Macaca mulatta: one gene and its partners. The protein of the gene in region 1 purifies or fractionates together with the protein of each later gene. This does not show direct contact. Links are inferred from orthologs where the notes say so. Each region holds a gene or a part of one and is shown on either strand. Other genes may lie near its edges.

The links.
Region 2: the proteins of CDC26 (region 1) and ANAPC7 purify together in Homo sapiens (affinity purification with mass spectrometry; 5 studies listed by BioGRID and IntAct, with this or other methods). This does not show direct contact. The link is inferred for Macaca mulatta from reciprocal best matches to the Homo sapiens genes CDC26 and ANAPC7.
Region 3: the proteins of CDC26 (region 1) and NEK2 purify together in Homo sapiens (affinity purification with mass spectrometry; 3 studies listed by BioGRID and IntAct, with this or other methods). This does not show direct contact. The link is inferred for Macaca mulatta from reciprocal best matches to the Homo sapiens genes CDC26 and NEK2.

Annotation. Positions count from the first base shown.
Region 1 is NC_133420.1:45,041,181-45,045,396, forward strand, and holds the start of CDC26 (anaphase-promoting complex subunit CDC26), read left to right. Parts: upstream 1-1,388; coding exon 1,389-1,469; intron 1,470-4,216. UniProt on the Homo sapiens protein: Component of the anaphase promoting complex/cyclosome (APC/C), a cell cycle-regulated E3 ubiquitin ligase that controls progression through mitosis and the G1 phase of the cell cycle.
Region 2 is NC_133416.1:117,550,620-117,554,186, reverse strand, and holds part of ANAPC7 (anaphase-promoting complex subunit 7), read left to right. Parts: intron 1-2,047; coding exon 2,048-2,165; intron 2,166-3,541; coding exon 3,542-3,567. UniProt on the Homo sapiens protein: Component of the anaphase promoting complex/cyclosome (APC/C), a cell cycle-regulated E3 ubiquitin ligase that controls progression through mitosis and the G1 phase of the cell cycle.
Region 3 is NC_133406.1:69,400,990-69,404,485, reverse strand, and holds the end of NEK2 (serine/threonine-protein kinase Nek2), read left to right. Parts: intron 1-2,196; coding exon 2,197-2,423; 3' UTR 2,424-2,995; downstream 2,996-3,496. UniProt on the Homo sapiens protein: Protein kinase which is involved in the control of centrosome separation and bipolar spindle formation in mitotic cells and chromatin condensation in meiotic cells.

The sequences.
Region 1 (4,216 bases):
AACAAAACAAAACAAAACAAAATGGTTTTTGTTAACACAGTATTACCTCGGGATTTCAGGCTGTGGAATGCTCTTTTGAACCTCTTTTCTTCTTCTTCTTTTTTTTTTTTTTTTCTGAGTTGGGGTCTTATGGTGAGATCATGGCTCACTGTGGCCACCTCAAACTCCTGGGCTCAAGTGATCCTTCCATCTCAGCCTCCTGAGTAGCTAGGACTACAGGTACACACTACCAGCCTAGCTAATTTTTTTACTTTTTTGTAGAGACAGGGTCTTGCTATGTTGCCAAAGCTGGTCTTGAGCCTCCTTGTGCACTCTTCTCTCTGCCTGCCCTTCAGAAGTCAACTAAGATATCATTTTCTCCAGGAAGGCTTGCCTGACATCCTTGTCCACCCCACACTCAGCCCAGACTGGATTAGGTGCCTGTGTGATGCCAGTGCCAGTATCCTCATTAGGGTTCTCGTTATATGATATCACAGTTTTCTTTATTTTCCCCACAGATTATGACTGTACCTTTTAATTCTGTAGCTGGAGCACAAGAAGTGTTTGTTTAATGAATGACGTACACACATTTAGGATCTGTTTGGACGCTGAGGATAATCCTGTGAATTGGTGAGTTGGAGTCTTCATGAGATTTAGCAAACTGATTTTAGCATTCAGGAGTGATCACAAATCTCTGACAGTTCTCACGTAGAGTAGATTAAATTCACTGGTTTGTCCACTTTCCCCTCTAACTATACTGAGATGTGATAGTTTATTCTTTTAGCTAGAGTATTTCTTTGAATGTGACTAGAACATGAGATTAAAGTGATAGTTTGCTATTTTAAATTCTTACTGAAAGAGTTTTTGATTTTACAGAGCTGTAGATCTCCATAATGTAATAAAAATGTAATAATCATATACCTAAAGACTTTAGAAGTTGGCTGGGTATAGTAGCTCTTGCCTATAATGCCAGTACTTTGGGAAAATGAGGAGGGAGGAACACTTGAGCCCAAGAGTTTGAGACCAGCCTGGGCATCAGAGAGAGATCCCATTTCTACAAAAAACACAAAAATTAGCCAGATATGGTGGTGTACACCTGTAGTCCCAGCTACTCTAGAGGCTGAGGCAGTAAGATTGCTTGAGCCCAGGAAGTTGAGGCTGTAGTGAGCTAAGGTCATGCTACTGTGCTCCAGCCTGGGCAAAGAGCAAGATCCCATCTCTTAAAAAGACTTTAGAAGTCTGTGTGAATTCAAATAAAGTTTTAATACTTCCATTCACTTTAGTACACAGGCTTGCAAACTGATTTTATGTTTTGTATCTGAGACTTTATTACCTTCAGTTTTTCCTCCTCTCTTTCATTTTTATCAGCTAATAGTTCACTGGGTTTGGCCCTTAGTGTTGACTTCAGTATGCTGAGACGAAAACCAACACGCCTAGAGCTAAAGCTTGATGACATTGAAGAGTTTGAGAGCATTCGAAAGGACCTGGAGGTATGAATACAACTTTGTGTTTTTTTGAGATGGAGTCTCGCTGTGTCACACAGGCTGGAGTATAGTGGCATGATCCTTGGCTCACTGCAACCTCTGCCTCAGCCTCCCAAGTAGCTGGGACTATAGGTACATGCCAGCATGCCCGGGTCATTTTTGTGTTTTTAGTAGAGACGGGATTTTGCCATGTTGGGGCCAGGCTGGTCTCCAACTCCTGACCTCAAGTGATCCATCCGCCTCAGCCTCCCAAAGTGCTGGGATTACACATGTGACCCACTGCACCCAGCCAGTGATTGATTGCAGAAATCATGTCTGTTTGCATCACCATTTCCTACCATCTAGCTCATGGTAGGAGCCCCATATGTATTTTTAAGTGTGGCCTTGCTACATGGTATTAGATGTCCATTAATAAGACTTAAATTATTCAGTGGTCTACAGAATAAATTCCAAATTCCCTAGCATGGCATATGAGGTCCTTTGTGAGCTGGTCCTTGCTTATCTCTCCACTTTCACTGCTGGGTTATCTTTAATCTCAATGCCTATACACAAGTGTTCCCTTTGCCAGAAAAGTCCTTTATTTTTCTTTGCCAGGCTAACTCTTACTTCTTCCAGCCCCCAGCTGGGTTAGGCTCAACCTCATCCTCCTGTGCTAACCTCTCTCATAAGCACTGTTAGTCTCTGTTGTAATTGTCTGTTTGCTTTTGTTTTCCCTCACTGGGCCATAAGCTCCTTGAAGTCAGGGATTAGTATATTTCTGTCTGCATCTGTTCCCTGCAATACCAGGCCCAAAGGAGGGCTCAATACAAGTCTATTTTCATTTGCTGTCCTAGCAGATATCTTGTACTATATGGCAGAGGACAGTACATTTTGCATGTATTTACCAACAGCTTTATTATGGATTGTATATGCTTCATATTAAGACTAATAACTTAGATTTCTTCCCCCTGCTTCATCCCAAGACACTTTAGTGTTCTCGAAGCATCATAATTTCTGCTTTTAAAAAACTCATATATTATTAAGGATGAGCTTTAAAGTATGGCTTAAACTTCAGTTGTTACAAATCTCATAAAATGCTAGCATGCCGAACTTTGACTCTACAGAGTCAGCTCACTATTGAGTTAGTCTTTTCACCAAAGGCAGTTATCTAGTGGGTTTTGCCCTGTTTTAGAGTAACTTAGGAAGCAGGGACAGTCATGCCCTAAAGTGAAACCAGTAGAAAACTGGCCTGTTTCATTTATTACCAACATGAGTTTGATTATCTACTGTGACTCTAGCTTCTGAAACAGCAGTTGCTCAAAGTGGGAACCCTTTTAAGTGATTTCATTCCACTTGGATATTCTCAGAATGATAGAGTTGTTTGCCTTTTAGAACTTGTTTTCACAAAGATATTTAGGTAGAACTTTCTAACATCACTTACTAGTAATCAGGAAGGTCATTTGCCACATAAAAGGCAATACCTTATTTTATTCACTGTAATACTTTGTGAGTGTTGGCATTTATTTTATTTTTTATTTTTATTTTTGAGACAGGGTCTTGCTCTGTCGCCCTGCTGGTGTACAGTGGCATGATCACCACTCACTGCAGCCTCTACCTGCCAGGCTCCAGTGATCCTACCACGTCCGGCCCCCTGAATAACTGGGAATACAGGCATGTGCCACTATGCCTGGCTAATTTTTAAATTTTTTGTGGGCCGGGTGTGGTGGCTCACGCCTGTAATCCCAGCACTTTGGGAGGCCGAGGCAGGCGGATCACGAGGTCAAGAGACCATCCTAGCTAACATGTTGAAACCCCATCTCTACTAAAAATACAAACATTAGCTGGGTGTGGTGGCATGCACCTGTAGTCCCAACTACTTGGGAAGCCGAGGGCAGGAGAATCGCTTGAACCTGGGAGGTGGAGGTTGCAGTGAGCCGAGATGGCGCCACTGCACTCCAGCCTGGTGACAGACCGAGACTTGGTCTGAAGAAAAAAAAAAAATTTGTGGGGACAGATGGAGTCTCACTATGTTGCCCAGGCTAGTGTCAAACTCCTGGGCTCAAGCAGTCCTCCCAAAGCAGTGGGATTTACAGGCATGAGCCACTGCGGTCAGCCCGATGCTTGGCATTTAAATGCCCACAGTCCAGCAGCAAGTGGTGAAGAATGGTGGTAATTCCAGTGATTTGAGTAGCTGAGCCATTCTATTATTATTAAGGAATTTTGGATAAAACATCATTTCACTCTCTTAGAGAAAGTTATCATCTGTTGTCCTTACAGTCAGGTAGTGGCAGTTACGGGATAAGTGTTTCTTTTTGAAAATGATCAAACTGAGACATACTTTGTGGATTCTGCAGTCACATGTGACTTAAGAACCAAACCTTTTATCTGAAAACAAAATGAAGCCACAAAACCCAGACCTTTTGATAAGATAGCATAAAACCTTCTCATGTTACTTTTAATCTCATGGGATCAGTTAGGCTATAGATTTTTGGTGGTTATTTCTTTACCAGTCAATTTATTTTTCTGTCTATTCTCTAGAATAATAAATTTGTTGAAATACCCTTTGCTCCCCCTTGTCTGCTCTTACATCTTTCCAGTTGTAGCTTCCTGTTGTACCACCACACCCCAACTCCTTACCTCGTCTCTTTGGCAGTGTTGACTTCCCTCTGTCATAGGTCATAGCCCGGATCACCCTATAATCGTCTCTTTGGCTGTTTACCTATTAGACTGTGACATCCTGGAGGGCAGGGGTTACATCTTTTTTTTTTTGAGAT
Region 2 (3,567 bases), on another chromosome or scaffold:
CGGCCTCCCAAAGTGCTGGGATTACAGACTTGAGCCACCGCGCCTGGCCGAGGTGGTGATCTTTAATGAACTACATTTTGGATAGAACTACAAGTTTTTTGGGAATAGGCCAACTTTTTCTGAGACTGACTGGCTTTTCAGCAGCATGTTTCTGATGGTCTAGAACTCTTGAAAGAGGAACCTTACTTGATGCCTTTTTTTGGGCCTTTTCTGGTTGGGTTGGGTTCGGGTAGCTGTATATCACGCCACAGGAGAGAGGGGCAAACACTTCCTGAAAATTGCAGGCTTTCAAATTGTGAGGTAGGTTGTTCTGCTCCTTTGTTTTTTTGTTTTGTCTTTTTTTTTTTTTTGTGAGACAGAGTCTCACTCTATCGCCCAGTCTGGAGTGCAGTGACGCGATCTCGGCTCACTGCAACCTCCACCTCCCAGGTTTAAGCAGTTCTCTGCCTCAGCCTCTTGAGTAGCTGGGATTACAAGTGTGTGCCACCATGCCCAGCAAGTTTTTGTATTTTTAGTAGAGACAACGTTTCACCACCTTGGCCAGGCTGGTCTTGAACTCCCGCCTCGGCCTCCCAAAGTGCTGGGATTATAGGCGTGAGTCACCATGCCCAGCCTCCTTTGGTTTTTGGTTTTGTTTTTGTTGTTAGAGACAGGGTCTCACTCTGTCACTCAGGCTGGAGTGGCTCAAACATAGCTCACTGCAGCCTTGACCTCCTGGGCACAAGCAATCCTCCTGCCTTAGCCTCCTGACTAGCTGGGACCAAAGGCATGTGCCACTGTGCTTGGCTAATTTTTTTTTCTTTTTATTTTATTTTATTTATTTACTTTTTTAGACATAGTCTTACTCTGCCGCCCAGGCTGGAGTACAGTGGTGCAATCTCGGCTCACTGCAGCCTCCGCCCTCCGAATTCAAGCAGTTCTCCTGCCTCAGCCTCTTGAGTAGCTGGGATTACAGGCGCCTGCCACTGTACCCAGCTAATTTTTTGTATTTTTAGTAGAGACGGGGTTTCACCATCTTGGCCAGGCTGGTTTTGAACTCCTGACCTCGTCATCCACCTGCCTTGGCCTCCCAAAGTGCTGGGATTACAGGCATGAGCCACCACGCCTGGCCCTTCTTTTTTCTTGAGATGGAGTCTCGCTCTGTAGCCAAGGCTGGAGTGCAATGGTGTGATTCGGCTCGCTGCAACCTCCGCCTCTCTGGTTCAAGCGATTCTCCTGCCTCAGCCTCCTGAGTAGCTGGGATTACAGGCACACGCCACCATGCCCAGGTAATTTTTGTATTTTTAGTAGAGATGGGATTTCACCTGTTAGCCTGTTCTCGAACTCCTGACCTCGTGATCTGCCTGCCTCAGCCTCCCAAAGCGCTGGGTTTACAGGCATGAGCCACCACACCCAACCACTTGGCTAATATTTTAAAATTTATGTGGAGAACAGGGTCTTACCATATTGCCCAGGCTGGTCTTGAACTTCTGGGCCCAGGTGATACTCCTGCCTCCGCCACCCAGAGTGCCAGGATTACAGGTGTGAGCCACCATGCCCAGCTGGGTTTTGCATTTTCTTTTTTTTTTTTTTTTTTTGAGACAGAGTCTCAGTCTGTTGCCCAGGCAATGCAGTAGCGTGATCTCGGCTCACTGCAACCTACGCCTTCCTGGTTCAAGTGATCCTCCTGCCTCAGCCTCCCAAGTAGCTAGGAGTACAGGCACGTGCCACTATGCCCGGCTAATTTTTTGTATTTTTAGTAGAGACAGGGTTTCACTGTGTTAGCCAGGATGGTCCTGATCTCCTGACCTCATGATCCACCTGCCTTGACTTCCTAAAGTGCTGGGATTACAGGTGTGAGCCCCTGCTCCTGGCCTGGGTTTTGCATTTTAATAGTCACTTTGTAGGAAACTGGAAATAGTAGTGGGAGGAGCCTGTGATGGTGTAAAGGGCTTAGCCCCTGCAGGAGCTGGGGCCTCAACATGGGGTCTGATATTGGGTGCTACTCCTGTATGTGGGACCCCTGCTTCTCTGCTTAAAACACCTCTTCTGTGTCCTCCTTTTCTAGGAATGGATGTATATGGCTACCTATTGGCACGAGAAGGGCGGCTGGAGGATGTTGAGAACCTTGGATGCCGCCTTTTCAATATCTCTGATCAGCATGCAGAACCGTGGGTGGTTTCTGGGTATGATTATGCCTTCTTTCTCCCCAGTTGTCAGTAGATTAAGAGATTGTGGTTGCTCCTGAAGAGAATATAAATTGAAAGCTCAGGTTTAAGAGGTAATCGCCTGGCCAGGCATGATGGCTCATGCCTGTAATCTCAACACTTTGGGAGACTGAGACAGGCGGATTGCTTGAGGCCAGGAGTTCGAGACGAGCCTGGCCATCGTGGCAAAACCCGTCTCTACTAAAAATACAAAAGTTGTGTGCGGTGGCTCACGCCTGTAATCCCAGCACTTTGGGAGGCCAAGGTGGGTGGATCGCTTGAGGTCAGGAGTTTGAAACTATCCTGACCAACATGATGAAACCCCATCTCTACTAAAAATACAAAAATTAGCCAGGTACGGTGGTAGGCATCTGTAATCCCAGCTACTTGGGAGGCTGAGGCAGGAGAATTGCTTGAATCTGGGAGGCAGAGGTTGCAGTGAGCCAAGATCACACCATTTCACTCCAGCCTAGGTGACAGAGCAAGACTCCATCTAAAAAAAAAAAAAAAAAGTCGGGCATGGTGGCGCACGCCTGTAATCCCAGCTACTCGGGAGGCTGAGACAGGAGAATCGCTTGAACCCAGGAGTCAGAGGTTGCAGTGAGCCAAGATCGTGCCACTGCATTCCAGATGGGTAGCAGAGTGAGTTTTTGTCTCAGAAATAAATAAATAAAATTAAAAGAGGTAATTACTTGAGGCCAGGAGTTTGAGACCAGCCTGGGCAGTGTAGCAAGACTCTCTCTCTCTCAATCTCTCTCTCTCTCTCTCTCTCTCTCTCTCTCTGTCTCTCTCTCTCTCTCTCTCTCTCTCTATATATATATATACACACACACACACACATATAAGTATATGTATATATTTTTAAAAGGATAATCAGTCCTGGATTCAAATCATGGTTTATGACTCTGGATGCATTATTTATCTATCTAGGTCTGTATTCTCATTTGGAAAATGGGCTAATAACCTCTCCTTCTAGGGTTAAGCATTAACTGAGTTGGTGAATGCGTTGTGCTTAGTACTGAGCCATCAGTGATGGGGCCAGAAGATGCTCCTTTGTTATTAACCTGGCTTTACAAATTCTCCTAATGCCTCTCTGCTAATAACTAATATCTAGATCATAGGTTCTTTTTCATAATTTGTCCCTTCTGTATCAAGATTTCCCCTTAAAAATAAATATTTAGTGGATTTTTTGGTTTGTTTTGCTTTTCTACTAATATCATAGGTTAAAACTGTAAGTGTGGTTTGGAATAAGGATTATGTTCAGGGCCTTCAATATGATTTTTGGATGAAGTTTCTTTGTAGTCTTCTCTTAAATAACTTCTGGGGTTTTTTTGTTGTTTTTTTGTTGTCTCCAGCTGTCACAGCTTCTATAGCAAACGCT
Region 3 (3,496 bases), on another chromosome or scaffold:
GCAGCATTTTGTAAATGGAACAGACAAAAAACCCTACTTAAGTTAGATTGATGATCACAATAACTTTGTAGTGAACAAGTGATGGAAAGAAATGAAACTACTGATAGAAGTAAATGAAACAAAGATTGTATGAAACTTTGGCTTGATCTCTGTTAAGATACCTTCTTTTTTCTCAATATTGCCATCTACCATTTCAATATTATAAACATATTTATTTTGGCTTTTCATAGATTCCACACTGTCATCCATAAAGACAAAGTATACTTAAATCATGATTAGGGTGATAAAATGAGGAGAAAATTATACTGGATGAATTTCATGCATCAAACCCATTGCAGGAAATTACTTAAGACCCTGTTGGGGATGGCTTTTCAGTTAAAGAGTTTATTTACATTTGCCCTGATAGTCTTTGAGCAAAAGATGAAAATAGCTAAGTAAGCATGATGTGTTTTACTTTATAGGATACACAGATAAGTATGGGAATCTACTTATATGTGAATCATGGCAAGTATTTAAAATGAGCCATAGGAATCAAGTATCCACTGGGGCAAGCAGACATTTTAGAGTATTGAGTGCTGAAAGTAGTGAACACATCAGAGCTATAAGATAAGCATCATAGCAGTGGGGAGCTGGTACTATTCTGAACTCAGGACAGTTGGAAATATCCTCTCCCCATCCTTGGGCTATAAAATCCACACATGAGGAAGCCATCACAAGTGTATTGAAATCATCACAGCAAGCAGCAGTATCTTTTTTTAAAACTTTTCTTTTCTTATTTGATGAAATAGTCATTATTCTATTTAATGGAAGAATTTTAAACATTTTTTAAAAACACTTTTTTCTTATAAAACTATCCCATTAAGAGCCAGGTGTGGTGGTGCACCTATAGTCCCAGCTACTCTGAGGGCTCAGGCAGGAAGATCACTTGAGCCCAGGCGTCCGAGGCTGTAGTGCACTACAGCTGCACCTGTGGATAGCCACTGCACTCCAGCCTGGACAACATGGCAAGACCCCATCTCAAACAAAAACAAAACTATCCCGTCAGTAAGACAATGTTGACTTACAAATCTATAGGTATTTGTGATAATAAGAAGGTGGATAGATTTGAAACAGTGGAGATAAAGTCTAAAGGCAATCCAGTTTGCTTTGAAGCAGAAGCGATGTATGAAGCAGGAATTCATAGGACCCTTGGAAGGCAGTGCATCTGTGTGCCAGCATTTCCTATTTCTTCTGCCTGGAGCACTCTTCATCCAGATAGCCCTGTGGCTTCTTACTTCAGAAATGACCGTATGAGGCTTTGTATCATTACACCTACCACCCAGCATGTCCCTGTTTCCAGGGTTATTTTTCCTAATAGCACATATTACCATCAAATATTCCCCACCAGTACTTGTTTATTTGTGTTTGGTTTATCTCCTCCTACTAGAATAGGGCCTGTTTGGTTCACAGTGGCCCATCCTATGAGCTCAATAAATATTTGAACATACAGAGGAAAAATAAAAAGATCTAGAATCTGTTTAGGCCTCCAGCCCCTACTAATTCTGTCAGCAGTTAATAGTGTTGCCACTTTAAGTAAATAAGATTATTATTTATTTTTTCCATGAAAAGAATAGTTTACATTTTTTACTACTCTTACTTGATTTATGTTTTCCACACCGAATTTGTTTAGGTTTTTTGGAGACAAATTTCTGGTCAGTTAAGATGCTTTGAACTAAGTTCTTGAACATTTAACCAAAACTGTAGGTGTTCTCTATTTTAAAAAATATATACAAAAAGCAAAAACCAAAAAAAAACCACAAACTGTGCTTCTATACTTTTCTGTAGGTAAGGTGTTCTGCATAGAATGGCACTTATTTTCAAGGATAGAGATAAATAACATTGATTTCCAAAAGTTTTATATTGTCCATAATACTCAGTGTGTTTAACTTTAAGAGTAAAATTGATTGTTCGTTGTTAAGAGAACAAAACTTATGTTCCTTGAATTTCGGCACATTCCAATATTTTTTCAATGCTGTGGATTAAAAGGCTGATTTCTGCCGGTCCTACACCCCTAACCTCCCATCCCAGAGAAAATAAAACAGGTACCTAGATTTCAAATGTGAACCATAAGAGCAAATACTTTTTGATAAGTATAAGTATGAAGGAGTTGAACTCTGTTCAAGTAACTCAAAGCCCTTTTTCTTTTTCCTTCTAAAGAACTTCTTAATCTTCCATCCTCAGTAATTAAGAAGAAAGTTCATTTCAGTGGGGAAAGTAAAGAGAACGTCATGAGGAGTGAGAATTCTGAGAGTCAGCTCACGTCTAAGTCCAAGTGCAAGGATCTGAAGAAAAGGCTTCATGCTGCCCAGCTGCGGGCTCAAGCCCTGTCAGATATTGAAAAAAATTACCAGCTAAAAAGCAGACAGATTCTGGGTATGCGCTAGCCAGGTAGAGAGACACAGAGCTGTGTACAGGATGTAATATTACCAACCTTTAAAGACTGATATTCAACTGCTGTAGTGTTATATACTTGGTTCCGTGAGCCACACCTTTTTGTATAGTACACGTGATATTTCGGAATTGGTTTTGCTGTTCTTCAGCAACTATTGTACAAAATGTTCACATTTAATTTTTCTTTCTTCTTTTAAGAACACATTATAAAAAAATACTTCTTGCTTGGGCTTTTTTAATCCTGTGTGTGATGACTAGTAGGAACATGAGATGTGACATTCTAAATCTTGGGAGAAAAAAAATAATGTTAGGAAAAAAATATTTACGCAGGAGTAGCAGTCACTGAATAGTTTTAAACGACTGAGTGGTGTGCTTACAATTGTTATATATAGATTTAAATTTTAAGTCTGAGATTTTAAATGTTTTTGAGCTTAGAAAACCTATTTGGATGCACTTTGGTCATTAATACCATGACATCTTGCTTGTAAATATTCCATTGCTCTGTAGTTCAAATCTATTAGCTTTGTGAAAATTCATCACTGTGATGTTTGTATTCTTTTTTTTTTCTGTTTAACAGAATATGAGCTGTCTGTCATTTACCTACTTCTTTCCCACTAAATAAAAGAATTCTTTAGTTTCCCTGTATTTATGTGTCTTGCATTTGTTGGTCTCTTAGTTGATGGGAGTTGTGTTTATGATTTATAGGTCTTCATCATAGGGTATGGAAGGAAACATGGATCTGATGCTCAAGAGAGTGGCATTCCAGTCCTAAACTATATGGCGCTTTACCTCCCATCTCGTTAATCCATGTATGTAAGCCAGTGGTCCTGAACAGGGTGATTTTGCTCCTCAAGGGACATTTGGCAATGCCTGGGGGTGTTTTTGATTGTCATGATTTGGGGTAAGGTGCTACTGTCTGCTAGTGGGTGCAGGCCATGGACATTTTACATTGTAAACATTTTACAATGCACAGCACAGCCTCTGACAACAAAATGTCAAATGGGTTTGGATCATATTCCTAAATGACACAATTTCAAATGCTAAAATTCCGAAAGACCAAAATCCC